4 linked regions of the Canis lupus familiaris genome follow. The protein of the gene in region 1 purifies or fractionates together with the protein of each later gene. This does not show direct contact. Links are inferred from orthologs where the notes say so. Each region holds a gene or a part of one and is shown in the gene's direction. Other genes may lie near its edges.

Region 1 (7,422 bases):
CTACACATCTGTGTGTGTGCTTCAGACATGGGTGGTCTTTTAGGCCAGACTTCTTGCAATGCTGTGTCTCTGTACAGTGGAGCTTTGGGCAAATAACTGGCCCTCTCTTCCTTGTTTGTGAAAGAGGATGCCAGTACCCATCTGTGTACCATATAGCACAGTCAGTGCCTAGCATGTTGTACCCATGGATGATGATTACCTCTTCTCAATTTACTCATGCCATACCTTGACATTATGCTGTTCTCCTATCATGGCACTAAAGAAACGTGTCGTAAATGCCTACTGCAGATATGGAGAATAGTGAATTCATTCCTTTCTCCCCTCTTTGCCTTTCAAGTCTAGTACAAGACAACTCCTTCACAAAACCATGAAACAAGATCGTTTGGTTTGTCCTACTGAATTTTTAAAATAACAGCTTTATTGAGAGACCGTTACACATACATAAAACTCACCCTTGTAGGGGACCCCTGGGTGGCTCAGTGGTTGAGAGTCTGCCTTTGGCTCAGGGCATGATCCCAGTGTCCTGGGATCAAGTCCCACATCAGGCTTCCTGCATGGAGCCTGCTTCTCCCTCTGCTTATGTCCCTGCTTTTCTCTCTCTCTGTGTCTCTCATGAATGAATGAATGAATGAATGAATGAATGAATGAATGAATGAAATCAATCTAAAAAAAGCTCACCCTTGTAAAATGTACAATTCAGTAATGTTAGTATATTCACAGAGTTGGTCAGCCATCACATCATCACTGCACTCTGGTTTTAAAACATTTTCATCACCCTCAAAAAAAAAAAAAAATCCATACCTATTAGCAGTCACTCCGCATTTCTCCCTTCATTCAGCAGCTGGCAGTCACTAATCTACTTTGTGTCTCTATGGATTTGCTGTTGTGGACTTTTCATATTAACGGTCTTATACAATATGTGGTCTTTTGTGACTGCTTTCACTTAATGCTTTCAAGCTTCATACACACTGTAGCATATATCAACACTTCCTTTGTTGCTGATAATCCATTCTATATGGATACATCACAATTTTTTTAATCCATTCATCTGTTGATGGACATTTGGTTTGTTACTGCTTTTTTTAACTATTATAAATCATACTACTGTAAACATTCAGGTACAGATTTTTGCATGAACATGTTTTCAGTTTTCTTGTATCTGTACCAAGGACTGGAATTATATGGGTATTTTGCATTTAACATCTGAATGACTTCCAGACTTTTCCAGTGCTGTTCAATTTGAAGATGAAGAAACAGGGCTCAGAGAGCTTAAGTGGGTTGTGCAAGGTCACATGATAATGATGGCAGGTTTGCATATATTGGAGGCCTATCAGCCAAATTCTTGGTAATTTGGTGGGGACAGGTGACTTGGGGACCCTACTCTTCCGCCATCTTGCCCCACCTATCAGCCAAATTCTTGAAGCCTGTTCTGCCACATGGGCAAAAGTAACACCAGATCACAGACTTTGAGGTTTAATGGAAAACAATGTTTTGTGGCAGGAACCTTTCTGTCACACACATACAGGTTGAAGTACAAAGTTCTTGACATCAAGTGTCCTAGCTCATTCTTGGTATTTTTAAGAGTATAGCATCAGTCTGAGGGAAAATTCCAAACTAGGCAAATTAAAATATAACTTCATTGTCACTTGTTTGAGATAATTTAATTGGAAGTTCTTGAAGTTAGCCATTTAACATTTTCTCTTTTCTTAAAATTCCAAATGTAGCATATACAAGTTAAATCCTAACCAGAAGTTAAGTTATAAAAGTGAAAAATCTCATAAAAGTCCAACTTGTTCCTGGAAATGCCTAGAAAGTTTTTCACTAGATTGCATCATCTGCCTCAAAAAAGCTGACACGGCATCAAGTGTTAGAATAAATTGCTGTTTCTTCTGTTGAATACTAAATGCAATCATTGGCTTAGATTGAAGGATAAGTTGGCAAATGACAGTTTAGCTAAAATGCTCTTGGAAGAAAATCTCTTAATTGTTCGTTAATGTGCAACATACGTGGTTTTGTTAGGAATGCTTTACAGCAGTGTGTGTGTGTATATATAATGTATATATGAGTCATGCTCAGTATGTAATTCCCTTGAGGGATCTTACTTAAAAATTAAATTCTAGTGTTTTGCTGCTTAGCATACTTAGTCAAGTCTATGAAGGTTCCAACTTGCTGATTCTTCTTTTTCATAGTTATCTTTGTACTTGATTTATCAATTTCTATAACTCTTCCTTGGTCTGTGTTTTCCTTTGTCCTCATCTAATTCCTCCGTTTCTTTGAGAGGGCAGATAAAGGTATCACACAATGGGCAAGGCAAGATATTTTATTTCTTTTTAATGGTCATAAACCCATACAACCACTTACCTTCCTCAGGATTTGGCCATTGTCACTGGCTGTTTCAGGCTTGGTGACATCCATTGCCCAATAGATGCTGGTATTAAGTGCAGGAGGCATTTTAATAAGCAGTCTTACTTCATTTTCTGGATCCATGTAGATGAAACGTGTAATATGGCTCCACTGTATCTTCAAACACCAGATCTGCTGTCAGCTTAAATTGAACCCGGGACGAAGGAGCAGCAGATTCAAGCCTCCCTTCTCATCCTGGGGTGTCTGTTGGAAGAGTGGAGTGCCTGGCCCAGACTCTTGCACTGTGTACACTTTCTCCCCCTTGCATGTGGTTGAGTTTTCCTAAGTTAGATGTATCTGCTGGGGCTTTGTTTCTTTATCGCACAATGCACTCAACTTCATTTCCTTCCTTTAGCCATTATGGAATTGCAGCCTGTTGTGGTACCTTCAGTTTGCTTTCGTATGTGTTATGTGCTTGTTTTGTCTCCTCAGATTGAATATAAGGCCTGGAAGGGAGAGGTACTGGCTTTGGCTTCCTTTACTTCCTCAGGGTGCTGAGTGCACGCTAAGTAATCCCATAATTATCCAGAATCCTTTAGCTCCTAACCTTGAGAAATAGTGGGCCTTCAGACAAAGTGGGTCAGATGCTGCCTTGCAGCAGAACCCAGGGAGAAGAGTGGAGGCTTTGGAATTCAGCAGACCTGGGATCATCCCAAGGGGCCTTTTACAAAGTCTCTCTAACTTGAACCTATTTTCCTCACCTGTAAACCAGAGTTGGTAGTGCTCACCCCATAATAATAATTAAAGCAAATACACACATGATGCTCATTATGTACCAGGTACTCTTCTAGGCCCTTTATGGGGGGTCTTAACTCTAAGGTAGAGTCTGTTTTTATCCTTATTTTGTAGATAAGGAAACCAAAGCATAGAGAGATTAAGCAGCTTTTGCCCAGCATCACACAGGACATAGTAAAACTAATTCCAGTCCTGGCACTCTGGCTTTAGAGTTCCTGCTCTTCACCACTAGTATGTGGTGGTACATAACAGACCTGAAATGGTAACTGTTTCTGTCATTGTTGTTATTAATTTACCTTAAACATGGAGAGATGAATGGCCTTTAGAATATATATTAAGGTCCTTTTTTGGAAAAGGAAATACTGAATAGATTTAATTCTATGAGGACAGTGTCTCTTTTGGCCTTATCTTTATATCCCCAGCATCTCTGATTATCAGAAGGTCCTAGTAGGTACTCAGTAAATGCCTGTTGTTTGAGTGAAAGAATGGGAGTAATCCTAATAGGAATCCTATTGTGCTTGCTGTCCATAGACTTTTGCATGGCATGATGACTTTGGGCATGACACTAGGCCTCAGTCTTGTCCACTCTAGTTAGAAATATTGCCACTGACTTCTTGGGCATGGTTGTGAGAATTGAGATATTTTAGGTGATGGATTAGTAGTGCTTGTACAAAATGTTCTCATTACTCTTTCTTCTAGTTCACTGCTTTTAAATATTTTATTTTTCCCACAGACCACAAAATTTTCTGAGCCTAGAGATAAATGCACCCCTGTTTTTGATCAATATAGTTATGGATTGGCTATCTGTTTCTTTCTCCTTATTATACTCTTTAAAAAACAGTTACCCCTGAGAAATGGCAGAAGCAGTTTTCCGTGCCCCAAAGCGGAAAAGAAGAGTATATGAGAGTTTTGAGTCTCCACTGCCCATCCCTTTTGGTCAAGACTGTGGGCCTAAGCAAGATTTCAAAGTGTTCACAGCAGAGATGATAAACAACAATGTAATTGTGAGGAACACAGAAGATATGGAGCAGCTCTATGGGAAAGTAAGTACTGGCGGCTTTGGCATGGCTACTTCCTGACAGTCCTGAGCCAGGGTATCCTTTTTGTTTCCTCCCATTCACTCCCAAAATCAGACCATAATTGACCCATATTCTTTTATTGCCATTCAATCCCATGTAGGAGAGGAACTACACAATTTGAATCAGGTGCCCTGAAGCCATATACTGATGAGGAAGGCTCCCCAACCCATGAACCCACATTTCAACAATAAACTGCAATCAGTGCATTGGCCTTTCTTGTTTTTAAGTTACAGAAACCATGCATATTCATAAATATGCCAAGCAATTTACAGAAATGTAATGGGTAAAAACTCCCCACTCCCATTCCATCTCCAGAGATAAACACAGAATGGCATATTGTTCTGGCTCAGGGACAGATGAGGCTTCAGCATGTACTCTGACTTGTTATCTGTGCTCTCATCTGTTTGGCGACCTCTTCTTAGATAAGGACAATTTCCAGTTTTTGCTGTTTTCCACCAATGATAGATTCAGGTTGAGATTGATAGCTTGCTTTTTTTATTTTATTTTATTTTATTTTTTGGTCCATAGCCAGTTCATTACTTTATTATATATATATATATATATATTTTTTTTTTTTTTTTTTAAAGTAATCTCTACCCCCAGCATGGGGCTCGAACTCACAACCTCGAGATCAAGAGTCACATGCTATATCAACTGAGCCAGCCAAGTGCTCCAACTGGGGCATTTTTTAAATAGCTTTATTGATGTATAATTTAGCGTCATAAAATTCACCCATTGTAAATGTGCAATTCAGTGATTGTAATAAATTCATAGAGTTGTGCAACACCATCATGGTCCAGTATGGGGGATTCCCAGCAGGGAATGCAAGTACCATTGCACTTAATCCCTGTTCCCACTTCCAGCCCATGTCACCCACTGATCCACTTCCTCTCTAAAATGTGCCTTTCTAGACACTTTATATAAAATATATATGTTGTAGCCAGTTTCTCAAGGTGGAATACAGCATGTGGCATTGATTCCTGGTGATGGGGGTCTAGGCTAAGGCCCTGCCTCTACCTGTCCCATTGCCTTGAGCTTAGTTATAAGGCACTTAAGGTATACTGAAAACTTACTAGAACTCTTCAAACAATCAGAGATGAATGCTAAGATCTTCGTTAGTAATCATTAAGTAATCAGAGGGAAAATGTAAACCTATGAAAAATAGAACAAATCTGTTGTTAACTCAAATAGTTGTTTTCCCTCAGCTAAAAAATTGGCGAACTAAACATGAACTAACTTTGTTTTCTCTTTTCCTGGAAGGGTTATTTTGGAAAAGGTATCCTGTCTAGAAGCCGTCCAAACTTCACAATTTCAGATCCTAAGCTCGTTGCTAAGTGGAAAGGTAACCTTGTACCTCATTCTGTCCTTTTGGCAAATTATATTCTTTCATCTTTGATCTTACATTTCAGATTACATAGGAAAATTCTTGAAAATGTTATAGGAAAATTCTCTAGACTTGAAGTAACATGCACAATGACGATTTTACTCCTAAAACTAGCAACCAGAATAGGGTTCTGATGTTTGGTGAAAACACGTTCTATCTAATTTCTGGAGTCATCAAAAGTATTATTCAGGCTTTTCTGTTGTTGAACGTTGACTAGCAGAGTACTATGCATGCAGAAGGTACCATATGCAAATAAGTTTTACATTTTTTATTTCTAGAATTAGAATTTATTTATTTTTATTTTTTTTAAAGATTTTGTTTATTCATAAGAGACACACAGAGAGAGGCAGAGACACAGGCAGAGGGAGAAGCAGGCTCCATGCAGGGAGCCCAACGTGGGACTCGATCCCGGGTCTCCAGGATCACACCCTGGGCTGAAGGCGGCGCTAAACCACTGAGCCACTGGGGCTGCCCTAGAATTAGAATTTATAACGATAACCGTAATAATGAATTTGTTAAAACATTAGCTAATGTGTGTAGTTCTTACTTGCTTGACTTGCCATATTTAACTTAAAAATATTTTACCTTCATGTATTAGTCTGTGGAAGTCTCATGGTGATTGCATAACCAATGCCAGCAGACTAAAACATCCTTAGGATTTTTGTAAGAAAAAAATACAAATTAAAACTGCACTAAGATACTATTTTAGCAATCAGATTGGCAAGAATCCAAAAGTTTGACAGTAGTCTCCTTGGGGAGGTCCAGAGAAATACTCTCCATATACTACGGATGGGAATGCAGATGGTACAACTGTTACAGAGGGGAATTTAGCAATGCCGAGCAAAATTATGTATAGATTTGCTTTTTTTCCCCCATCAATCCTCCTCCCCCGCCAACCCCTGGTCACTTTAATATGTTTTCTGTGCTTATAAGGTTGCCCATTCTAGATATTTCATGTAAGTGGAATCATACATTGTGAAGCCTTTTGTGTCTTCCACTTCGGACGTTTTCAAGGGTCATCCGTGTTGTGGCATGCATCCAAATTTCATCCTGAGTAATATCCCGTTTTATGGATATACCATGTTTTTTTTATCCATTCATCCAACGATGGACATTTGGGTTGTTCCCATTTTGGGGCTGTTATGAAGAGTGCTGCTGTGAACGTTCATATACAAGTAATTGTGTGGACGTATATTTTCATTTCTCTTAGGTATTTACCTACGAGTGGACTTGCTGGATCATACGATAATTCTGTTTTAATTTCTTTAGGAAATGTCAAACTGTTTTCCACAACTCCGGCGGCCCCGTGTTACATTCCTACCAGTAGTGCACAAAGTTTCCAATTTCTCCACTTGCTGGTTTCTGCTTTTGGATTTATTCATTTGTTTATGATAGCCATCTTAGTGTGAAGTGGTAAAAGTTTTTAATATTAATCAAGTCCAGTTTATCTATTTTTTTCTTTTGTTATCTATGGTTTTAGTATCATATTTAGGAAGCCATTGCCAAATCCAAGCTGATACAGATTTACCCCTGTGTTTTCTTCTAAGAGTTTTACAGTTTCAACTCTTAAATTTAGATCTCTGATCCATTTTAAGTTAATTTTTGTATGTGATATAAGGTAGGGGTCTAGCTTCAGTGTTTTGTCCATGGATATTCAGTTGTCCCAGTACATGCATTTACTTTCAACCCAGCAGTTCCATTTCTAGAAATTTATCTTTCAGATACACTGGCAAAAATATGAAAAGAATAGCTATTCATTGCAACACTGTTTCTTATATTAAAAGACTGGAAAAGGGGGATCCCTGGGTGGCGCAGCGGTTT
Region 2 (7,922 bases), on another chromosome or scaffold:
CTTTCTTATGAAGAACCTCTATGTTTCGGTGCTATTTTTCTATCAGCTTCCAATTATATTTCATTTGACTCAGATTCTGTTTCTCATGGAGTGCTGTCCTGTGTATATCTCTGAAGTATGTGGACAGAACATATCCTTTTTTTTTTTAAGATTTTATTTATTTATTCATGAGAGACACAGAGAGAGAGAGAGAGAGAGAGAGGCAGAGACACAGGCAGAGGGAGAAGCAGGCTCTATGCAGGGAGCCCCACGTGGGACTCGATTCCGGGTCTCCAGGATCACACCCCGGGCTGCAGGCAACGCCAAACCACTGCGCCACCGGGGCTGCCTGACAGAACATATCCTCTAAGATAAAACCCCCAATTTCTTTAAAGGATTTTTTAAAAAAGATTATTTATTTATTCATATTTATTCATGAGACACAAGCTGAGTCACCCGGGCTGCCCCCAAACCCCAATTTCTAACGGAGGCTAGCTACCATCTAGAAAATGAAGTGTGACAAAGATAGGTACTCAGGGAGGACAGCTCGTGGGTCATTTTTCTTTTCGCATGTAAGGAAGGGAAGCGTAGGTCAATGGTAGGTAATGGGAAGCATTGCTAGCTGGGTATGAAAAAATATAAGGAATTCTGAAGATTTAACCAAGGAAGATTCTGGGGTTGAAGATAAATTCTGAAACACAGTGCAGGTGCCTTGAGTGATATTATCAGAGGTTTGGAACTAAGAGGGAGACTTGGGTAAAGAAGGAAGTGTTTCTGTACGGGCAGTGGATGAGAGAGGAAAGGTAAGCAGAGGAGGGATTTGAGGAACTATTCTTGAGGAAAACAATGGGAAGTGGGAAAAAATGTAGGTGAGTAGTCCTTAAGGCAAGGATGGAAAGTTTGGAAGCAGAAAAGGGATGCCAATTAATTTAACTCAGGAAGAAAATGATCAAGGGTTTAGTTGGTGAGAATGAAAAAGACATGAGGACAGTCTTCTTTGGGGGGTGTGGAGATGGCAGGAATGCTTGGTGTAAGATGACAAGGGAGAAAAGGAGTGCAGGCAAGCCTAGATGCTGTAAATACTGTGCCCTCACTCTGTTTAAGAAGTAAGTTGGAGGGGATCCCTGGGTGGCGCAGCAGTTTGGCGCCTGCCTTTGGCCCAGGGCGTGATCCTGAAGACCCGGGATCGAATCCCATGTCAGGCTCCCGGTGCATGGAGCCTGCTTCTCCCTCTGCCTGTGTCTCTGCCTCTCTCTCTCTCTCTGTGTGATGTGACTATCATAAATAAATAAAAATTAAAAAAAATAAAGAAGTGAGTTGGAGGGACGCCTTGACTGGCTCACTAGGTGAAGTATGGGACTCCTGATCTCCGCGCTGTGAGTCAGAGTCCCATATTGAAGGTAGACATTACTTTATTTAAAAATAAGTGAAATGGGAGATAGTCTAAAGGCGGGGAGAGGTTTCTTTTCCCTAAATTCAGCTTGAGATGGCTGCACAAATAAGCCAAATAAAGATGACCTTCAGATAATTGGGAGAAATTGCCTCAAGGGAGAGAGTGTGGAGGCGAAGAAAGAGATCTGGGAAATAGACTGCTGGGAAAGAGGAGAGGCTGAGCTCATTCAGGGAGGGAATTTGCAAACAGAAGCCTGGAACTGAATTTTTGAAGGATGGTGAATGGTTACGGGATACCTGAGAGTTCACAGGAGAACTAACGCATGTGTGGTGAACGAATGAATTAAAGTAAACCATCAAGGACTAAGCCGTAGAAAGTGAGGATGGCACTGCCTGCTGACAGAATGAGTGTGAAGGTAAGAGTGGGTGTGAAAGAGCCAACCCAGAAAATTGTCCCAGGCTTCTTGATCCCGAGTAACCATGAGAGCCGGACTGAAGAAAGTACTCATCTATAAAGAGGGGGTGACAATTATAGTATGTGTTTCATAGGGTTCCTGAGAGGATTACATGAATTTACACCTGCAAAGCTCATTGAACAGTACCTGGCATCTAACACTACCTGTTTGCTATCATGATAACTGGACTCGGACTCCCAAATCCTGAGTTTGAGTCCTAACATGGGCAAATCCCTTCCCCTGTCTCTGTCCTCCTTTGAAATTGGGAGATCATACCACTGACTTTACACGTTGGCTGAGAAAGAAAATACTGGAAAGGGCTTTAAAAAATTCAGACTGGGCAGCCCAGATGGCTCAGCGGTTTAGTGCCGCTTGCAGCCCAGGGCGTGATCCAGGAGACCCGGGATCGAGTCCCACGTCGGGCTCCCTGCATGGAGCCTGCTTCTCTCTCTGCCTGTGTCTCTGCCTTTCTCTCTGTGTCTCTCATGAATAAACAAATAAAATATTAAAAAAAATAAAAAATTGAAACTGCTGTGCATGTGGATGGCATTATAAGAGCTCCCCCTCCTCAACCTATAATAAAAACTCAAAAGCTAACGTCAGATGCTGTGTTACACTGTGTTACACTGTGCTTAGGACTTTACATGAGTCATCCATGCAATCTTTAAAACGACTTTAAGAGGTTGGGTACTGTTATTATCCCTGTTTTACAGACAAGAAACTGGGTCTCAGAGAGTTAGCCTGATTTGCCCAAAGCCACACAGCGAGAAAGTGGCCGAGCAGAGCACAGATTCCAAAGCCCAAGCTCGCGAGGCTGATGGATGCGGCCCCAACTGCTGCCTGCGGGGTAGGTGGGCGGCCTTGTACAACTGTTGGGAATTCAGGGAGGGAAACCGAGCCCCCCAAAGAAATCCCCGATCCGGAGGAGAGACGTTGTTGGGTAATGACTGGAAGGAATTCTTGGACGTTTAAGTGTTTTATTAAAACAAATTGTAGGGACGCCTGGGTGGCTCCGCGGTTGAGCGCCCGCCTTCAGCCCGGGGCGTGATCCTGGGGACCGGGGGTCGAGTCCCGCGTCGGGCTCCCTGCATGGAGCCTGCTTCTCCCTCTGCCTGCGTCTCTGCCTCTCTCTCTCTCTCCCTGTGTCTCTCATGAATAAATAAATAAAATATTAAGAAAAAATAAATTGCAACGCCGTCTCGGTGCCAAGCGCTGTCAGGGAGGGGACGACACCCAGGCCGGCCTCCTCCACCTGCCTTAGCCCAGACGTCCCCGGGTCCCACGAGGGGTTCCGAGGGATTCCGCTAATTCCGCGACCTCCTGGCTTGTGGACCAGGCAAGCCGACGGTCGTGGGACCCAGACGGCGAGCCGGCCCGCCTCCCCCTCCCCCCGCCGTCTCTCCCGGGCTGCAGGTGAGCTGGAACCTCGGGGGCGAGAGTCCCCTCCAGCCGCGCCCCGGCAACCATTGGCTCCTCCGCGGGTCCCCGCCTCGCGCGGGGCGTCACCGCATCCTACCCGCGGCTCGCCGTCTTCGCAAACAAGGACGCCGCCGCCCCGCCCACCTATGGCGTCACGATCAAAACAATCTTGTAACTACAACTCCCAGAAGGCCGCGCGGCTGCGCGAGCTCCGCCGCTGGAGGCAGTTCCGGCAAAACTACCGATCCCGATAGGCATCGCGCGGCCACTGTTCCCACTGTTCCTGCGTCGCGCCTGCGCAGAACCGCCTTTGTTTCCGGCGTGGATCCGGGCGGGCGCGGCGTGCCGTTGGGTTTAGGCGCTGTCGGGGGCTCCTCGGTTTGCCGGTTTGTGTTTGCGGCTGTGCAGGTGAGAGAACGGCCGGCGCTTTGGGACCAGGGCACGTTTCGGCGTCTCGGGGTGCTGGGACAGATGCTGGACTTACACTTGCGGTTCGCAGTCGGAAATCGTTGTTCACCACTCCTCGGTTCCTCGGCGTTTTCTAGTTGACGAAGTAATTCTTCTTCCCCTTCACCGATCCCCACAACACTTGGGGAGATCAGGTGATTTGTCTAACGACAGTAGTAGCAGATGCTGAGCGGGTTCTTAGGCTATTTTCTTTTCTTTTTTTAAGATTTTATTTATTTATTCATGAGAGGCACACAGAGAGAGGCAGAGACGCAGGCGGAGGGAGAAGCAGGCTCCCTGCAGGGAGCAGATGTGGGCCTCGATCCCTGGACTTCGGGATCACGACCTGAGCGGAAGGCAGATGCTCAACCCCTGAGCCAGCCAGCTAGGTGCCTCACCCCAGGCTATTTCCTAAGTCCGAACCCAGGGTTCTCTGCTTTGCATTCAGTTTGCAGACGCCCTTTCTTGTGGACTAAGAGAGCTGGGAGGGTATTTGTCTCCTTTTCAAGTCGAGTATCCCAATAGAGTGACGAAAGGAGCGATGGAAGTGATATAATCAAGTCTTAGGTCAATGTGTAGATATACTTTTCTAATGTATGAAAAGTATACATTTATTCAGTCGGTGTTTTTATGAGGTGCCTATGGGTTGTCGAGCCTTAGATACTGGAAGTAACAGCAGCAAACCAGACTGCCTAACCCTTACATTCCAGTGGGGGTAGACAGGCAAATGTATAGTGAGACGGGGTGATCACAGCTAAGGGGAAGAATGAGGGTAAGGAGAAATATCCAGGGGAGGATTTTGAGTAGTGTCCTAACTCCTGTTTCAGTCTGGTAATTAATTTGTGTTCTAGGCACAGCAACCACACAGAAAAGATGGGAGAGGAAGCCAATGACGACAAGAAGCCAACAACTAAATTTGAACTAGAGCGAGAAACAGAACTTCGCTTTGAGGTGGAGGCATCTCAGTCAGTTCAGTTGGAGCTGCTGGCTGGCATGGCAGAAATATTTGGCACAGAGCTGACCCGAAACAAGAAATTCACCTTTGATGCTGGTGCCAAGGTGGCTGTTTTCACTTGGCATGGTTGTTCTTTACAGCTGAGTGGCCGCACCGAGGTGGCTTATGTCTCCAAGGACACTCCTATGTTGCTTTATCTCAACACTCACACAGCCTTGGAGCAGATGAGGAGGCAGGCGGAGAAGGAAGAAGAGCGAGGTCCCCGGGTGATGGTCGTGGGCCCCACTGATGTGGGCAAGTCCACAGTGTGCCGTCTGCTGCTCAACTATGCAGTGCGTTTGGGCCGCCGTCCCACTTATGTGGAGCTGGATGTGGGCCAGGGGTCTGTTTCCATCCCTGGTACCATGGGGGCCCTCTACATTGAGCGGCCAGCAGATGTCGAAGAGGGATTCTCTATCCAGGCCCCTCTGGTGTATCATTTTGGCTCCACCACTCCTGGCACCAACATCAAGCTTTATAATAAGGTCAGAGCCAGAGTCAAGGTGGGATGGAGGGAAGGGCTGCTGTCAGGGTAGGAAGCTGTGCAAAAGTGTGCTAATTAAAACTGTCTATGGCCATTTCTTTGCTCCCTTTCAGCTGGGATTTCTGTCACATGACTTTGGAAGACAGTTTCAATTATGTCAATCTCAGGTTCTTAAATATTCCTGTGGCCCTGTTCTTAAGTAATGTACTAAATTTCTACTTAGGACACGAAACAGAAGAAGCAACATAAAATCGAAATCTGTGTTATGGGGTTAAAACCTTAGCCATTAAGAATGTCATTGTTTTCTGGTACCTAATAGCCACTTATTCTACATAACTATTGAGTTCTTTCGTTTTGTGTTTCCTTTCCTCACCTTGATGCTCTCTTCTGCAGATTACATCTCGTTTAGCGGATGTGTTCAATCAAAGGTGTGAAGTGAACCGAAGGGCCTCTGTGAGTGGCTGTGTCATTAACACCTGTGGCTGGGTCAAGGGTTCTGGGTATCAGGCCCTGGTGCATGCAGCCTCAGCCTTTGAGGTAGACGTGGTTGTGGTTCTGGATCAAGAACGACTGTACAATGAACTAAAACGGGACCTGCCTCACTTCGTCCGAACTGTGCTGCTCCCTAAATCAGGGGGTGTGGTTGAACGCTCCAAAGACTTCCGGCGGGAGTGTAGGGATGAGCGTATCCGTGAGTATTTCTATGGATTCCGGGGCTGTTTCTATCCCCATGCCTTCAATGTCAAATTTTCAGATGTGAAAATCTACAAAGTTGGGGCACCCACCATCCCAGACTCCTGTTTGCCTTTGGGTATGTCTCAGGAGGACAATCAGCTCAAGCTAGTACCAGTCACACCTGGACGAGATATGGTGCACCACCTTCTGAGTGTTAGCACTGCTGAGGGCACAGAGGAGAACCTTTCTGAGACCAGTGTGGCTGGCTTCATCGTGGTGACCAGTGTGGACCTGGAACATCAGGTGTTTACTGTTCTCTCTCCAGCCCCCCGCCCACTGCCTAAGAACTTCCTTCTCATCATGGATATCCGGTTCATGGATCTTAAGTAGAGACTGGTATGAAGCCTTGCTGCCTGGGGCATCGAGATCTTCTGGCCATCATGAAAGGCAAAAAAGTTGGGCTAAAGTATGAGACTCTGTTGAGGCCAAACAGACGAGTAAATAGTGAACTAGTAGAAAGCATATTTCTACCTCTTAAGATGGGTGGTGGGAGCCTAACTCTTCTGATCTTGAACCAAAAAGAACCAGGAGAACATAATTGGTTTCTTGGATCACCAAAGGTGCCGCTTTGTATTCTCCGAGGCCCTGGAGAATCGTATTTTTTCCACTATGCTACTTGGTGGACTAATTTTTAGGAGGAACTTTTTAAAAAATTATCACTGCTTTATATTCTGTACATAGTACTTGTTATTCCATTTATCCAAGATGAAAGATTGAATCAGAAGGCCTCTTTCTAGTAAAGTTCAAACTTGGGAAATTTTAATAAATATTTTTGCCATACCACAGAAGTTGGTATAATTTTTTTTTAATTTTGTTTTTCTCCCTAAGCATGATGGAAACATTATTGAAGTGAGTTATTGCTAAATGCTTCAAAGAAAGCCAAGGGCCCACCTTTGAGCCAAGCAGGTGAATTTTTATAATGGTTTTCCTTTCCTTGTAGGTAAATAGATGCTAAATCTGTTAATGCCAGGTTTACTTTGAGGAGCTACAGAGGCTGGTGATAAACTTGGATTGAGATTTCTGGTCTAATTATTTTCCATACATAGCTCATTTGCTCTCCGCTGCAGCTGTCTTTCCTATTGTCCTTCTGATTGGAACTGGGCCCCAGGTCAAGGTGTAAATTGAATTTTCGGGTGGTAAGAAGCTGGGAAAGAAAGCCCCATTCTCTTTGATTTCTTGCAAATGATTTGTGTTCCTAGTTTAGACTGGATTATTGAGTATTATCTGATACCCTTTGATTCATTCTTTCCACAAGTGTTTATTGAGCATATGCTATTGGCCAGGAACCATTCTAGATGGGGAACAAGATAGACAAAATCTTACAGAGCTTACATAGAATAAGCAGACAAAAAAGGTAAGTGCTATGTAAAGTTAAAATTGCGTGGTCTGAGACAGAGTGACTGGGAGGGTTAATTAGAACGGGTGGTCAGGAAAGGCCTCCCCTGAGCACATTTCACATTAAGATTTGAATGGCTGTGTGAAATTGGGACAACGTCTTGGTGGGGGAAACAGTTCAAAATCCTAAAAAAGGAAAAATATTGATGTATTTGATGAAGGGAAAGGGTGGTGTGGTGTACTGAGGGGTGAATGGTAAAAATTGAGGCTGGAGGGGGCAATAGGGACCAGATAATGTAGGGCTCTTATAATCTTAGAGCAGTGGCAAAGGATGGGAGAGGGGTGGTGTCTTAATTCCTTAATTCAGGCTGCTGTAACAATGCCAGACTGGGTAGCTTATAAACAGATTTCTCAGTTTTGGAGGCAGGAAAGTCCAAGGTCAAGGCATCAGCATGGTTGTGTTCTGATGATGGCTCTCTTTGGGGTTGCAGACTGCCTATTTCTAGCTATGTTCTCACATAGTAGAAGGAAGGGCCAGGGATCTACTGTGGAGCCTCTGTTGTAAAGACACTGATCCCACTCACACAAAGATTTTACATTCATAGTATCTAAGCACCTCTCAAAAGTCCCACCTCCTAATACCATTATCTTTGGGGCTTAGGACTTCAATATATGAATTTTA
Region 3 (7,398 bases), on another chromosome or scaffold:
TTCAGGCTTTGGGTTAGGGAGGAGTCAGGGAGCCAGGGAGCCAAGGTTCCTGGCTTCCTAAGGCAGGGCAGACTTGGATCCTGGGATTCCCGCCGCTTTACTTCTCAGGCTCTGGCATCCTTCAAACGCCAGCAAGAGCAGGGCTTCCAGGAGCAAAGCGCCCTGGCAGCGGAGGCCCGTGAGACTCGTCGTCAGGAACTCCTAGAGAAGATTGCAGAGGGCCAGGCTGCGAAGAAACAGAAGCTGGAGCAGGAATCGGTGGCCAGCGAGAGCCAGGAGGCCAGTGCGAACCCGGCTGCCGCAGAGAGTGAGGCCGGTGCGAGCCAGGCTCCTGGAGAGCCGGAGGAAGCAGGTGAGGGTGGGAGTGGAGTCCACGGACCAGGAGCAGGGGAGAGGGAGATCTTTTGGGAATCCTGGCTGGGAATCTAGGGCCTGGGGCTCATTGGGGGATGGGAAGACCTGTCCTTGGATGCATCAGACTCTTGCATTCACCTCCCGCAGGTTCCTCCTCTCCTCAGCCAGGGCCGTCAAATGGAGTGGCCCCTTTGCCCAGGTCGGCTCTGCTGGTCCAGCTGGCCACTGCTAGGCCTCGACCTATCAAGGCTAGGCCCCTGGATTGGCGTGTCCAGTCCAAAGACTGGCCGCATGCTGGCCGTCCTGCCCATGAGCTTCGCTATAGCATCTACAGAGACCTGTGGGAACGAGGCTTCTTCCTCAGTGCAGCTGGCAAGTTCGGGGGTGACTTCCTGGTCTATCCTGGTGAGTTTTGTTGGGACCTCTCCTTGTGAAAGAGACCTCCTTTTTCCTCAAAGCCCTCCCCTTTTTTCGCAAGCCTGCCACCTTTTTGTCTTTTCTCAGCCTCTGAAACCCATGGAAGGACAAGAACACTTGGGAACCATTTGAAGGGCAGTATAGTAAATCTAAGCACTTTCTTTGATCCAGAAGTTTCACTCAGAGACTCTTAGATATGTGCATAAAACGTACAAGGAATCATCACTGCAGGATTCCTTACGGTAGTGAAATATTAGAAAGCAACCAGAATGATTATTAATAGGTTAGTGGTTACACACTGGTGTTAGTTGTCAGAGTAATGTAGGTCCATGTACATTTATGAAAAAATGACCAAAGGGGGGGAAAAAGAACCACTTGTCGGAAACAGGTACAGTAAAAAGCACATTATGTTTTCTGTTGTGATGCAGTTATGTACGTGTTATTTGAGTAGCCTTAAAAATTATGCTCTAGGGGCATCTGGCTGGCTCTTCCGGTAGAGCATGCGACTTTTGACCTCAGGTTGTAGGTTCCAGCCCCATATTGGGTGAAGAGATTACTTAAAATCTTAAAAAAAATCCGTATGGCTCTAGTGAAAGAATATGAGAACTTATGGTGAAGTATGGAGTGGAAAGTAACTAGCAAGCAGAAGAAGGCCTGAAAGAACGTACTCCAGCCCAAGTACAGTGGTTACCTCTGAGAAGGAATGTGCATTGGGTGTAGGTAAAGGAGACTTTCAGTGTATTAGTTCATTTTTGAATTTGTAGTAAGAATGCCTTTATTGTGTAACTAAAAGGTTAAAAAAGTAAGTCTGCAGGCAAATCACCTTTTTTTGTTCCCCCTGAGAACGCAGAAGGATATAAACACCTGATACATAGTCAAATCTTAGCTGTTGGTTGGAGACCGACTGTGTCTTCTGCACACGAGCTGAGAACCTTCATCTCTTCTCAGACCAAACACTCAACTGAGGGACTGACTTAGGACAGACAGTGTACCTGCCCTGTGCTCTACAGAACCACTGTCCTTACTTTGCTGCTGGTTTTTTGTGACTTCTGTACATAAAAGGTGATTTTGGTTTTGAAAATGAGTATTCAGCTTACTGAACGTATGAAGGCTAATATCTAGTTTCTAAGCTTTCAGTTCAGGTTGCAAATCTTTCTTTCCAATCTAGCAGGTTTTTGTTTTGTTTTGTTTTGTTTTGTTTTAATTCATGAGAGACACAGAGACACAGGCAGAGGGAGAAGCAGGCTCCACACATGGAGCCCGATGTGGGACTCAATCCCAGGACCCCAGGATCACTCCCTGGGCCAAAGGCGCTAAACCACTGAGCCACCCAGGGATCCCCATCAATCTAGCAGATTTTGAGGGACTGTTTGTCCCTGTGTGATCCTACTCACAGAAGGCCTTATGTGGTTTTCAGCGTTAGAAGCTGCATTTTAAGTTTTAATGTATTTCTTTTCCTTTTTAAGTTGTGTGGTTTTCTGGTTATAGAACTTGCCAAAAACTCAGATCTAATACATTGCAAATGGGCTGAGTTTTAAGTTTACATGTTCTAATACGGTTAAGAGTCTTACTACAGGTTAAACTACAGGTTAAAATAAGGTTAAATCTGGGTCACCTGGGCAGCCTGGGTGGCTCAGCAGTTTAGCACCACCTTCAGCCCAGGGCGTGATCCCGGAGTTCTGGGATCGAGTCCCATGTCAAGCTCCCTGCATGGAGCCTGCTTCTCTCCCTCTGCCTGTATCTGTGTCTCTGTCTCTCTCTCTCTCTCATGAATAAATAAAATCTTAAAAAAATAAATTTGGAGCACCTGGGTGGCTCAGTTGGTAAAGCACCTGCCTTCAACTTGCATCATGATCTCAGGGTCCCGGGATTGAGTCCTGCAGCAGGCTCCCTGCTCAGTGGGGAGTCTGCTTCTCCCTCTCCCTCTACCCCCTGCTCATGCACGTGTGTGCGCTCTCTCTCTCTCTCTCTCATAAATAAAAAAAAAATTTTAAAAAGTAATAAAATAACAATGAAATAAGGTTAAATACACCAACAACTTAATCACACATTTGAAACTGGCCCACAAGGCTGACCTGTTAGGGTTTTTTTTTTTTTTAAGATTTTATTTATTTATTTATGAGAGACAGAAAGAGAGGCAGAGACATAGGCAGAGGGAGAAGCAGGCTCCTCGCAAGGAGCCCGATGTGGACTCGACCCAGACTCCGGGATCATGCCCTGAGTCAAAGGCAGATGCTCAACCACTCAGCCATCCAGGCATCCCTGACCTGTTCTATTACATCAATATTTCTAAAACAATACATACTTGATATATATGAGATATATATAAAATCCTTATTCCCTGAAGATGAAAATCTTCAAGGTCTGAATCCCTTAAATATTTCTAACAGTAAATCTTCCCAATCTTAAAAGACACTAAGTCTTTTAGAACAGTTTTGGGGTACCTTCTCAAGTGTTTTGATGCTTCCTTCTGAGCCGGCAGAGGTGTCACACCAGACAGTGATGCCTGGCTCCTGGCTGTGTTCTGGCTGGAAATCCAGCTAACAGTCCTCTCATGTGGGATATCTCACCGCTTTGCTCTTGTAGGTTTACATTACCTACCCCTTTATCTTCTGTATGGTACCCCACTCTGGTTCCTACTCTATTTGATCAGATTTACCTAATTCAGGGGCAGACCACAGCCCCAGGTCAAATGAAGTCCAACAGATTTTAAAGGTAAAGTTACCAGAATGCAGCCCTGTCCATTTGTTGACTTACGGTCTGTGGCTCCTGTTGTGCTACAGTGCAGAGGTGAGTACCTATAACATGGCCCACAAAATGGAGGATATTTAGTGTCTGGCCCTTTTCTGAAAAATTGTGTTAGCTCCTTTATCGCATCTATTTATCACTCCATCCTTTTGTAAATTCTTTTCTTCTTTTACTCTGTTAGAGTAAAGTAAAATTCTTGGATATTCACATGACATGGCTTTGACTGACTTTGTGGTCCTTGTTCTTACATCACGACAGTGATATATTCAATTAATTGTTTTGTTTTTTGAATACAATTATGCCATACATCTGTGGCAGTTTGCCCCACTTGCCCCTCCCCACGCGGGGTATTGTTTATTTTTCCATGTTGGTACATTCTTTTCATTTTAACAGCTATAATCGCTTCTCAGCCTTTTGGCTAAGATCAAGTGCATTTAAACAGCTATATTATATTTCGTCTTATGGAGAGACCACAAATTTAACAAGTCTGTGGTTTTGATTGTTTCCATTTCTTAGCAGTTGTAAATGATAACAGAGTGAACATCTTCATAGATATATTTTAGTGTCACTATCCTTATAAGTAAAAAATGCCAAAAAGTGGAACTGCTAGGTACAAGAAGAGCTATTTGGAAATATTCATAGTGATTACTAAAATGATTCCTGTCTCCTACCTTTAGACATTCCAGTGTCTTCTAGCCTTCTACCACTGGGAACTGCTACATGTCTCTCTTTTACCCAGGTGACCCACTTCGTTTCCACGCCCACTACATTGCTCAGTGCTGGGCTCCTGGGGACCCCATTCCACTCCAGGACCTGGTTTCTGCTGGCCGCCTGGGGACCAGCGTCAGAAAGACGCTGCTGCTCTGTTCCCCTCAGCCTGATGGTAAAGTGGTCTACACCTCCCTGCAGTGGGCCAGCCTACAGTGAACTCCAGAGACCCGTGGGGATGTGGCTGCATCTGTGGAAAGAGCCTTTCTAGATGGTCCCAAGCTCATCTCTGCAAATGGGAGGCTGTTAACCCTCCTACCTCTTTCTGCGGTTAGATTTTGACTCCGGATTTATAAACACTACATCCTTCTTATTTCCCTCCCTGTTTCAAAGCACTTATTGGCTGTGATATTTTTGTAGTTACCTATTTCCAAGCTGTGAGCTTCTTGAGGGTGAAGACTGGGTTTGATTCATCTCCAGTTTCTACAGGGCTTAGGGCCAAGAGGTCTCAGTAAACTTGTTGAATAAACGCGGAGTCTGTGTTTTGAATTCTGATGGCAATGGGGGGAGGGGGCAGTGTGGGTTTTTGCATTTGCTTATACAGAGGAGGGAATGCCTGGAGGAGTCCTGCTGCTAGTGGGTAGCCAGTGGGGCTGGGATTTATTTTTTAAGATTTTATTTATTCACGAGGGAGAGAGAGAGAGAGAGAGAGGCAGAGACACAGGCAGAGAAAGAAGCAGGCTCCATGCAGGGAGCCCGACATGGGACTCAATCCCGGGTCTCCAGGGTCACACCCTGGGCTAAAGGCAGGCGCTAAACCTCTGAGCCACCCAGGGATCCCCACATTAAAGGCTCTTAACAAAATCTACACTCTTTCATGATTAAAACAACAACAAAGAACAAACTGGGAATCAAGATTGCTTCCTTTACCTGATAAAGGGTCTCTATGGGGGATCCCTGGGTGGCGCAGCGGTTTGGCGCCTGCCTTTGGCCCAGGGCGTGATTCTGGAGACCCAGGATCAAATCCCACGTCGCGCTCCCGGTGCATGGAGCCTGCTTCTCCCTCTGCCTGTGTCTCTGCCTCTCTCTCTCTCTATGTGACTATCATAAATAAATAAAAATTAAAAAATAAATAAAAATAAAAATAAGCCCCTGAGCCACCAGGGCTGCCCAGGGGCTGGGATTTAAAACTCTTTCTTTCTTTCTTTCTTTCTTTCTTTCTTTCTGGGGTAGGGGAGTGGAGGGGGGGGGGGGGGGGAAGGGGGGAATGGACGGTGGAAGGGGAGACGGGGGAAGGGACGGGAAGGGGAAGGGGGAAGGGAAGGGAAGGGGACGGGGGAGAAGGAAGGGAAGGTGAAGTGGGGCGGTGGCACGGGAAGGGAACGGGGGGACGTTAAAGGGCAAATAAAGGGCCTGACCTGTGAATTTAAAGGACCGGGACTGGAAGTCAGGGGGGGGGTTCTTGGAACTTTTTCCTTTCCTTTTTCCTTTCCTTTTTCCTTTCCTTTTACCTTTCCTTTTTCCTTTCCTTTTTCCTTTCCTTTTTCCTTTCCTTTTTCCTTTCCTTTTTCCTTTCCTTTCCTTTCCTTTCCACCTGGTCTTTCTGAATCCAGGGTCTGCACTCTTCCCACCACACTGAACTTCCTTTAGAGAAGATTTTCACAGAGTGTTTCAGGTGCACACAAAGGCATAAATAAAAGTAACATGAAGAAAAGGCACATGAGTGTTGCAGTTTCAGGACAGAGGTTCAGGTGGGGAGGTAATGTCAGGAGGGACACTTGGGGCTGTGGAATGCTGCTGGTGGTTTTTTTCTTGGCCTGGGTGGTGTTTATTCAGGTGTGTAGCATTATTTTTTATACCATACGTTTATGATTCAGATCATTTTTTTATATGTGTGTTCTGTTCCACCCTTTCTTAAAAAGTGGAAACACATCCAAAGAAAATACACATTTGTGAGATGCCTTTCTGCTTGAAATATTGCTTGAACGTTATCAGTACTGACTTTCAATATTTACGTATATACTTTAAAAATGCATAGTTTGTTACATAGATTTTGTTACTGAAATACAGTCACATGGTAATGATTCTGGAGCTGAAAGTGTCTATCTCTAGTTTCCCAATGTCTGGGCTGCCAATTTCTTCTTTCTTTTCTATACTTCTCAGTAAACAAATTTGCTAGAACCTCATATTTCCTGTAAGCTTAGATTAATTTAAAACAGGACACTAATCCCTGCCTCATTAACACTCTGTTCTTTGTGCCTCTTTGATAACTGGCTTGCAAATCTATTCTCCAGGCTCTCTCTTCTCTACAACAAAGTACTTAGTTGACTCAGTACTGAGTACCTCTGTCTTGAGTCTTCCCTCAAAAATTCCTCATTAAAAACTTGGCACTTGGTGGGCCCAGTTAGTGGAGCATGCAGCTCTTGATCTCAGGGTCATGAGTTCAAGCTCCATGTCTAGGTCTACAGTTTACTTAACAACAACAACTTGTAAGGACTTCCACATGCAAAAGAAGAAAGAGAAGAAGGAAATGTAGACTTTATGCCCTTTACAAAAATTAACTCAAAATGGATCATAGACTTCAGTATAAAATGCAGAGCTATTTAACTCATAGGAGATAATAGGAGAAAACCCAGACGACCATGGTTGTGGCCGTGACACTTCAGACAGAATACCAAAGGCAGGACCAATGAAAGAATTGATAAGGTGGACGTCACTAAAATTAAAAACTGAGGACGTACTGCAAAAGACAGCTGATAAAAGACTGTCATCCGAAATATAGAAATAATTCTTAAACCTCAACAGTAAGAAACAACCTAACCAGGGGCACCTGGGTGGCTCAGTCGTTTAGACACCCCACTGGAGCCCAATGTGGGACTAGATCCCTGAACTCCAGGATCACACCCTGAGACAAAAGCAGAGCTTAACCGCTGAGTTATCCAGGCATCCTGTCAGCTCAGGTCTTAATCTCAGCATTATGAGTTCAAGCTCTGCATTAGGCTCTGCACTAGGTGTGGGAACCTACTTAAAAACATCGGGCTCCCTGCGTGGAGCCTGCTTCTTCCTCTGCTTGTGTCTCTGCCTCTCTCTCTCTCTCTGTCGTGAATAAATAAATAAAATCTTAAAAAAATAAAATAAAACAGCAATCTGACTGAAAAAAAAAAAAAAAAA
Region 4 (7,422 bases), on another chromosome or scaffold:
TGGGTCGGCCTCCTTCAGTCCTCGCGGGAACCCAGCAGGCACCGCGCCCGCAGCAGAAGCGCCGTGGGGCCGTGCGCAGGGAACGCGGGCCGAGGCGTGGGCGCCGGCGCGTGCGCACTTCGCTCGGAGCCCCGGGCGCGCTGAGGCGCCCTCCTCCCTGTGACGTTGCAATGGGTTCTTCCCCAAAGCGGGGCTGCTCAGCATTAAGGGTGTGGGGTCTGGCTTGGTTTGACTTTTTTGTTCTGTTTTGTAAAGGAGCAAAGGAGATAGATCCTTGCTCGCTTCTGCTTGGCCAGTTGCTGCCCTGGACCAGTAACGGGCCAGTGAATGGAGACGGGGCTTTTGTAGGAAATCTCAGACTGGTCGGGTTCCTTGAGTACGAAGGGAGTCCTCTGCCGGGGAGCAAGCAGTAGTTCATAGACCATTATCTAAAAACAAGTCAAGGGCAGCCCGCGTGGCTCGGCGGCTTAGCGCCCCCTTCAGCCCAGGGCGTGATCCTAGAGACCTGGGATCGAGTCCCGCGTCGGGCTCCCTGCATGCTCCATGCTTCTCCCTCCTCCTGTGTCTCTGCCTCTCTCGCTCTCTCTCTATGTCTATCATGAATAAATAAAATCTTTAAAAAAAAAAAAAGTCAAAAGGAAATTTCCGAAGGTGTAAGTCTGAAAAGAGTCAATCCCTTTTCAAGGTTCTCTTTCTTGATTTTATTCTCCTCCTCTAACCCCTTATTCCCCCCATCAAGGTGAAGGAAAACAAACATGGATACGTTTTTCGGTGCCATAAAAAAGAAGAACCGTAACACGTTTAAGAAGCATGAACCCAGTAGTTCTGCCCGAGACTTTGAATACACTGCTTGAGTTGGAAACCCTGTTAGGTCACTAGCTTTGTGATTTTTTGGGTGCGTGTGTGTGTGTGGAGTTTTAAAATCTCATTGTTTCTCAGTTTTCTCATCTGTAAAATGGGGATAATAATAGTTCTTACCGGAGAGGGTTGTTACAGGATTAAATCAGTTAATATTTGTAAAGCACTTGACGTACTAAGCTCTATGTAATATATGTAAGAAATAGTGTATATAGTATGCAACATTAATTTCGTTCTATTATGCTTAGAAATCCTCAGTGTTTCTTTACGGGTAAAATTCAGGCTTTTAGCTTGGGTGTCAAGACCTTGTAACCTGGTCTCCAGTTACCTTTTCAGTGTTATTTTAAAACACATTTGAGATGTGAGGAAGACAACTAGCAATACCCCTGTTCTCCTGCCCTGTACATACTTACAATGAAGCTGGAGAGGATGACTGCAGGTCTGCACCCATGCAGGTCTGCTGATGCCTCACCTCTGCATTAGGCCTGCTTACCCACTAAGTCTGCATTAGGCCTGCTTACCCACTGAGTCGCTGGATAGCTGGGAAACCTCAGGCTTCCCTTGCAGTGGGAGTCCACTGAAGAATGTTCTCCAGTGCTGACCCAAGCACAAATCAGACAGAAGCCAGGAGGGATATTTTAGCTGACTTTCTTCAAAGGCAAACAGAGTACACGGAAATGGTGGCTCTCACTAATGTGCTAGCACAGAAACCCTGTTAAGAAGTGTCTGTGCTCCTGGCAGATAGACTATTCTCTAGGCCCTGAGTATGTGTGGCCTACACCCACCTCTACTCCCACACCGTTACCCTGTCTTCTCTATTCACTCAAATCATATCTGCCCTTCAGGGCCCAATCTGTGTCCACTTCTGCCATGAAACATTCACCAACCAAGCTATCCCAGTAGAGCTCCTCTGATTTCTTATGTCATGTTTTTTTGTTTTTGTTTTTTATTTCACACACTGGTTTTTAATCACTTAACCATCATGGGTTGTTAATTGCCCAACAGTTGTGAAGTGTGCATGTGTTTACCTTAACAGTCACAAGTTTGGGGTGATCCCTGGGTGGCTCAGCGGTTTAGTGCCTGCCTTAGGCCCAGGGCAGGATCCTGGAGTCCCGGGATCGAGTCCCATGTTGGGCTCCCTGCATGGAGCCTGCTTCTCCTTCTGCCTGTGTCTGCCTCTCTCTCTCTGTCTCTCTCTGTGTCTCTCATGAGTAAATAAAATCTTTTTTTTTTTAATTTTTATTTTTTTATGATAGTCACAGAGAGAGAGAGAGAGAGAGGAGAGAGAGGCAGAGACACAGGCAGAGGGAGAAGCAGGCTCCATGCACCGGGAGCCCGATGTGGGATTCGATCCCGGGTCTCCAGGATCGTGCCCTGGGCCAAAGGCAGGCGCTAAACCGCTGCGCCACCCAGGGATCCCTCTCATGAGTAAATAAATAAAATAAATAAAATCTTTTAAAAAAAAAACACAAGTTTTTTAGAGACAGAGATCAGGCCTTCTAACTCACATTATACCTGGAAGAGAGTCTTCTACTTTATATTATATATATATATATATATATATATATATATTTAGTGAATCGTTGTTGATTGAGTGAAAGAAAATATTAAGAGATTCTTCTCTGACAATTACCTTTTGATTTCCAGTATTTAGAAATGATGGAATTAGATATAGGAGATGCCAGCCAAGTTTATATAGCATTCTTGGTTTACCTGGACCTCATGGAGAGTAAGTTATTTGTTTTATTGTTTTGCTATTGGGGCTATGGTGGGGAAATGGGGAGTTGGGTTGGGATATGGCATTTATGCATTTGCTATTAATTTTGTCAGTTTTGTAACTTATTCATTCATTTACATTGGGAATTTTATTGGATAACAAAATACTGGAAGAGTAAAGACAAGATAACATTATGGGTGATGTTTGTTCAGCGGAATATTAGGTAGAAATTTAGAATTTTATCTTTTATCTTTGATAAACATTATCCATTCAATGATGCCCTTTCAGGTAAAAGTTGGCATGAAGTAAATTGTGTTGGATTACCAGATCTTCAGCTCATCTGCCTTGTCGGTACTGAGATAGAAGGAGAAGGATTACAGACTGTGGTGCCTACATCCATCAGTGCTTCCCTCAGCCATAACAGGTGGGCAGGTGATTTTGGTCTTTAACAGGTTAGTTCCTTTCTACTAGGAACCATTAAATTTGAGGTAGTAATATATTTTTAAAGGAATGTAAGGTACAGGGATCATAGCTTTACTCTTGGTTATTTGAGGAAGTAGTTCAATATGAGCATTTAACAAGTATTTAGTACTCACTATATTGTCAGTACTTTTTCAGAGAAGGGATATATATAATAGAAATACTATCTGGATCCCTGGGTGGTGCAGCGGTTTGGCGCCTGCCTTTGGCCCAGGGCGTGATCCTGGAGACCCGGGATCGAATCCCACATCAGGCTCCCGGTGCATGGAGCGTGCTTCTCCCTCTGCCTGTGTCTCTGCCTCTCTCTCTCTCTCTGTGACTATCATAAATAAATAAAAATTTAAAAAATAATTAAAAAAAATAGAAATACTATCCTAAAGGAAACAATGTTTTCATTCTCATAAGGAAGCAAGACCATTACACTTGAAACACAGATATTTTAAGATGTACCATAATAATTGATACAATTTATATTTGCTATAGATGTTGATGAAGAGTGTGCTTAACATGCAACTTGAAATCAAAGAAAATGTCTTGCAGTTCATGGTATCTTTTTAAAAACTCTTAGCTACACCGAATTGGATTAAACATATCTTTATTTCATGACACGTTCTCCAAATCAACCCTGCAAAACAAAACTAATAGTAGGCCCACCCTTGCGTAATTCCTCTTCCTTGAGTGTGGTCTATACTTGCTGACTTGCTTTTAACAAATAAAATTCGGCAAAAATGATGGGATGTTACTTCTGAGATGACATTAACCAAAGACTGTGGCTTCTGCCTTGGACACTCTCTCTCACTTGCACTATTTGTCAGATAATATTGCTGAGGCTTTTTAGTCTTTACTTAACCAAACATTTATTGAGTGACTATTATGAGTCAGTGATCTAAGTGCTGGAGATACTGTGTTGATAAAGACAACTACCTTTTTAGGTATAAGTGACATATGACATACTACGTTTCAGGTGTATAATATAATGATTTGGTATTTGTATATAGTATGAAATGATCATCACAAGTCTAGTGAAGATTTGTCACTATACAAAGTTACAGAATTTTTCTTGTGATGAGAACTTTAAAGGTCTACTCTCTCAGTCACTTTCAAATATGCAGTGTTACAAACTAGTTGCCGTGCTGTACATTATATCCCCATATGTTATTTATTTTATAACTGGAAGTTTGTGCCTTTTGACTCCTTTAACCCATTTTGCCCATTCTCCAGCCCCTGCCTCTGACAACCACCAATCTGTTTTCTGTATCTATGAATTTTTTTTTTTTTGAGATTCCACATATAAATGAGATCACATGGTATTTAAGGCATCCTCTTGAAAGTAGTGTTCTTAGCACTAAATGTTGACTTGGAAAATAAATTTTATTTCATTTTTTGGTAATTATTGAATGGATCTAATAAAAAGAGAATTCTCCTTTGTTCTGAGACCTAATTAACTGTGTAATTTGGGACTGCCTCCACTTATTTTATTGTTAGGTAATTGAATAAAAGGATAATGGAGCACCAGTAAGTACTTTATAGAAGACTGTAGCAGAGGAAGGACAGGAAAAACCTCCTGAAGTTAGTAAGAGACCATGTTTTAGCAGGACGACTACTAAGTAGTTAAGCATGATTGCCTGCCTGTAGCATGTCTAGTTCAGAGCAGGTGCTTTATAATGTTGGGTGAGGCAGCTAATGAACATATGAGTAAATAGAACTCATGGGAAAATAGGGGAGGATGGGAAATGAGGTGGGAAAGATTACCTAGATCATAAAGCCTTCACTGATTTCAATGTTTTGCTATTAAAAATTATACTATAGTGAATAGTCTTATATGTATATCTTTATTCTTATGTATGAGAGTTTCTCTAAGGTGGAAGTCTAGACGTGGAATGGCTGGGACTTAAAGAATTTGCACCTTCCTCTTTACTGGTTGTTACTAAATTGCTGTCTTAAAGGTTATGGGTTTATAGTATCACAATAAGTTTTCATAGAGTAGAAGAAGGGATTTATTGACATATAACTGACAATAATTAATTCATAGTATATAAATAACTTCTGTGACTCAAGGAAAAACAACCCAACAAAAAAACATGGACAGAAACAGGCAATTCACAGAAAAGGAACTCAAATGACTCAAATCTGCTTGTAACCAAGGACATAGAAATTTAAATGTGCTTATTTGTGGTTCGTCTTAACGATGCAGAAGCTTTTCAGACATTTTACGTTGCTATTGTGTGACAGAAGGTATTAGCTTATGGGGGAATCTTTGAACAGGGCTACAGCTAGCTCAGAGGGTACCTTTGAGTGAATTAGAAAGAGACATACCGGGGCACCTGGGTGACACAGTCAGTTAAACATCTGCCTTTGGCTCAGGTCATGATCCTGGGATCCTGGGATCAAGCCCTGCATCAGGCTCCCTGCTCAGTGGGGAGCTTGCTTCTCTCTCTCTCTCTCTCTCTCTCTCTCTTTTTCTCTCTCTCAAATAAATAATAAAATTTTACCAAAAAAAAAAAAAAAAAGGAAAAGAAGGAAGGAAAGAAACAAAGTCTCTTCACCAGGGTTGAAGGCTTGGCAAGTAGCATAAGCTGGATTTCAGACCCACTTGTACCAAGTATTCTCGTGCAAAGCACAATCTGTACAGTATACACAATTCCTTGTACCTAAAGTATGTCTGTTGAGCCCTGGATTTCCACAAAAAATACCAAAAATTACTGCTATGTGGATGGTGCCACTTTAAGGCTTAAGGCAGAGGAGTGATACTGTAGATTATTTCATGTGGTTGTAAGAGTATTTTGCCTTTGTTACAATGTTATAATATTTCAAAGTACATTCCTAAGTGTATTCTCATTTCATCAGCTCTAAAGTTCTGAATGGTTTATAGGGTACTTCTTTTATCTAATTTCACATATAAAAAGCTGAGATTAAAAATGTATTTTCATTTATACTATATTGTTTCCAAAAGATAATGCAGGATTAAGTGAGTTGCACCAAGGCCTCATAGTAGACAACAAAGTCTGATAGCTGTTAAGAGTTCTTTTTCTATTTTCATTAGCATTTTAAAAGTTTTTTCTTGGGGATCCCTGGGTGGCTCAGTGGTTTAGCGCCTGCCTTTGGCCCAGGGCGCGATCCTGGATCCCCGGGATCGAGTCCCACGTCAGGCTCCCGGCATGGAGCCTGCCTCTCCCTCTGCCTGTGTCTCTGCCTCTCTCTCTCTCTTTATGTCTATCATAAACAAATAAAATCTTTAAAAAAATTTAAAAAATAAAAGTTTTTTTTCTTATTGAAGTATAGTTAACATATAGTATTATGTAAATTTCTGGGGCACAACATAGTGATTCAATAGTTGTATACATTAAAAAATGTTCACCACAATAAATGTAGTTACCATGTGTCACCAAAGTTGTTATAATGTTATTGACTATAACTGTCAATGTTGTCAACTCTCTATGTTGTACTTTTCATACTCTATGATTTATTTATTACTGGAAGTTTTGTACCTCTTAATCCCTTTCACCTATTTCACCCATTCCTCCACCTCTGTCTCTCTGGCAACCACCAGCTTGTTCTCTATTTATAAGTCTATTTCTGGGTTTATGTTTGTTTTATTTTTTAGATTCCACATTTAAGTGAAATCATACGGCATTTATCTTTTTCTGGCTTATTTCAGTTAGCATGCTGTCTTTTAGGTTCACCAATATTGTTATGAATACCAAGATTTCATTCTTTTTTATGACTGAATAATGTTCCACCATATATATATGTATATATACCATATATACATATATATATATTATACACACATACACAGACATATCTTTATCCATTCATCTATTGATGGACACTTGGGTTGTCTACCTATCTTGGCTATTATAAATAATGCTGCAGTAGACATAGGGCGCAAATATCTTTTTGAATTAGTGTTTTCATTTTCTTTGGGTAAATACCCAGTAGTAGAATTACTGAGTCCTATGGTATTTCTATTTTTAATTTTTTGAGGAAGCTTCATACTGTCTTCCATACTAACTGCACCAATTTACACCACCAACACGGTACAAGGGTTCCCTTTTCACCACATCCTCGCCAACATGTTGTTTATTCTTAAATCTTTTATTGTAAAATAAAACCAGATACAGAAAACCACCCAATAAAAATGTATAGATAAAATAAAATAAAACCCCTTCTATGTGCTCTATTCCAAGCATAACCCTCTCTTTCCCACCAAAGTAACTATTATTCATACTTTTTATAAAAATAATTTCCTTGTGTTTCTCTGTAGTTTATTTGTGCCTTTTTAAAAAATAGATTTTATTTATTAGAGAAAGAAGAAGCAGGGGAGAGGAGCAGAAGGAGAGGGAGAAGCAGACTCCCTACTAAGC

Evidence for each region.
Region 2: the proteins of TSEN2 (region 1) and CLP1 purify together in Homo sapiens (affinity purification with mass spectrometry; 3 studies listed by BioGRID and IntAct, counting the BioPlex papers as one, with this or other methods). This does not show direct contact. The link is inferred for Canis lupus familiaris from reciprocal best matches to the Homo sapiens genes TSEN2 and CLP1.
Region 3: the proteins of TSEN2 (region 1) and TSEN34 purify together in Homo sapiens (affinity purification with mass spectrometry; 3 studies listed by BioGRID and IntAct, counting the BioPlex papers as one, with this or other methods). This does not show direct contact. The link is inferred for Canis lupus familiaris from reciprocal best matches to the Homo sapiens genes TSEN2 and TSEN34.
Region 4: the proteins of TSEN2 (region 1) and TSEN15 purify together in Homo sapiens (affinity purification with mass spectrometry; 4 studies listed by BioGRID and IntAct, counting the BioPlex papers as one, with this or other methods). This does not show direct contact. The link is inferred for Canis lupus familiaris from reciprocal best matches to the Homo sapiens genes TSEN2 and TSEN15.

Annotation. Positions count from the first base shown.
Region 1 is NC_049241.1:6,155,591-6,163,012, reverse strand, and holds part of TSEN2 (tRNA-splicing endonuclease subunit Sen2), read left to right. Parts: intron 1-3,979; 5' UTR 3,980-3,992; coding exon 3,993-4,181; intron 4,182-5,477; coding exon 5,478-5,559; intron 5,560-7,422.
Region 2 is NC_049239.1:38,996,136-39,004,057, reverse strand, and holds CLP1 (polyribonucleotide 5'-hydroxyl-kinase Clp1), read left to right. Parts: upstream 1-3,471; 5' UTR 3,472-3,798; exon of another isoform or gene 3,799-3,847; intron 3,848-4,543; 5' UTR 4,544-4,565; coding exon 4,566-5,171; intron 5,172-5,563; coding exon 5,564-6,235; 3' UTR 6,236-6,690; downstream 6,691-7,922. UniProt on the Homo sapiens protein: Polynucleotide kinase that can phosphorylate the 5'-hydroxyl groups of double-stranded RNA (dsRNA), single-stranded RNA (ssRNA), double-stranded DNA (dsDNA) and double-stranded DNA:RNA hybrids. dsRNA is phosphorylated more efficiently than dsDNA, and the RNA component of a DNA:RNA hybrid is phosphorylated more efficiently than the DNA component.
Region 3 is NC_049222.1:103,777,298-103,784,695, reverse strand, and holds the end of TSEN34 (tRNA-splicing endonuclease subunit Sen34), read left to right. Parts: intron 1-108; coding exon 109-352; intron 353-501; coding exon 502-759; intron 760-3,917; exon of another isoform or gene 3,918-4,061; intron 4,062-4,258; coding exon 4,259-4,446; 3' UTR 4,447-4,756; downstream 4,757-7,398. UniProt on the Homo sapiens protein: Constitutes one of the two catalytic subunit of the tRNA-splicing endonuclease complex, a complex responsible for identification and cleavage of the splice sites in pre-tRNA. It cleaves pre-tRNA at the 5'- and 3'-splice sites to release the intron.
Region 4 is NC_049228.1:17,238,904-17,246,325, forward strand, and holds part of TSEN15 (tRNA-splicing endonuclease subunit Sen15), read left to right. Parts: exon of another isoform or gene 1-102; intron 103-2,505; coding exon 2,506-2,587; intron 2,588-2,863; coding exon 2,864-2,999; intron 3,000-7,422. UniProt on the Homo sapiens protein: Non-catalytic subunit of the tRNA-splicing endonuclease complex, a complex responsible for identification and cleavage of the splice sites in pre-tRNA. It cleaves pre-tRNA at the 5' and 3' splice sites to release the intron.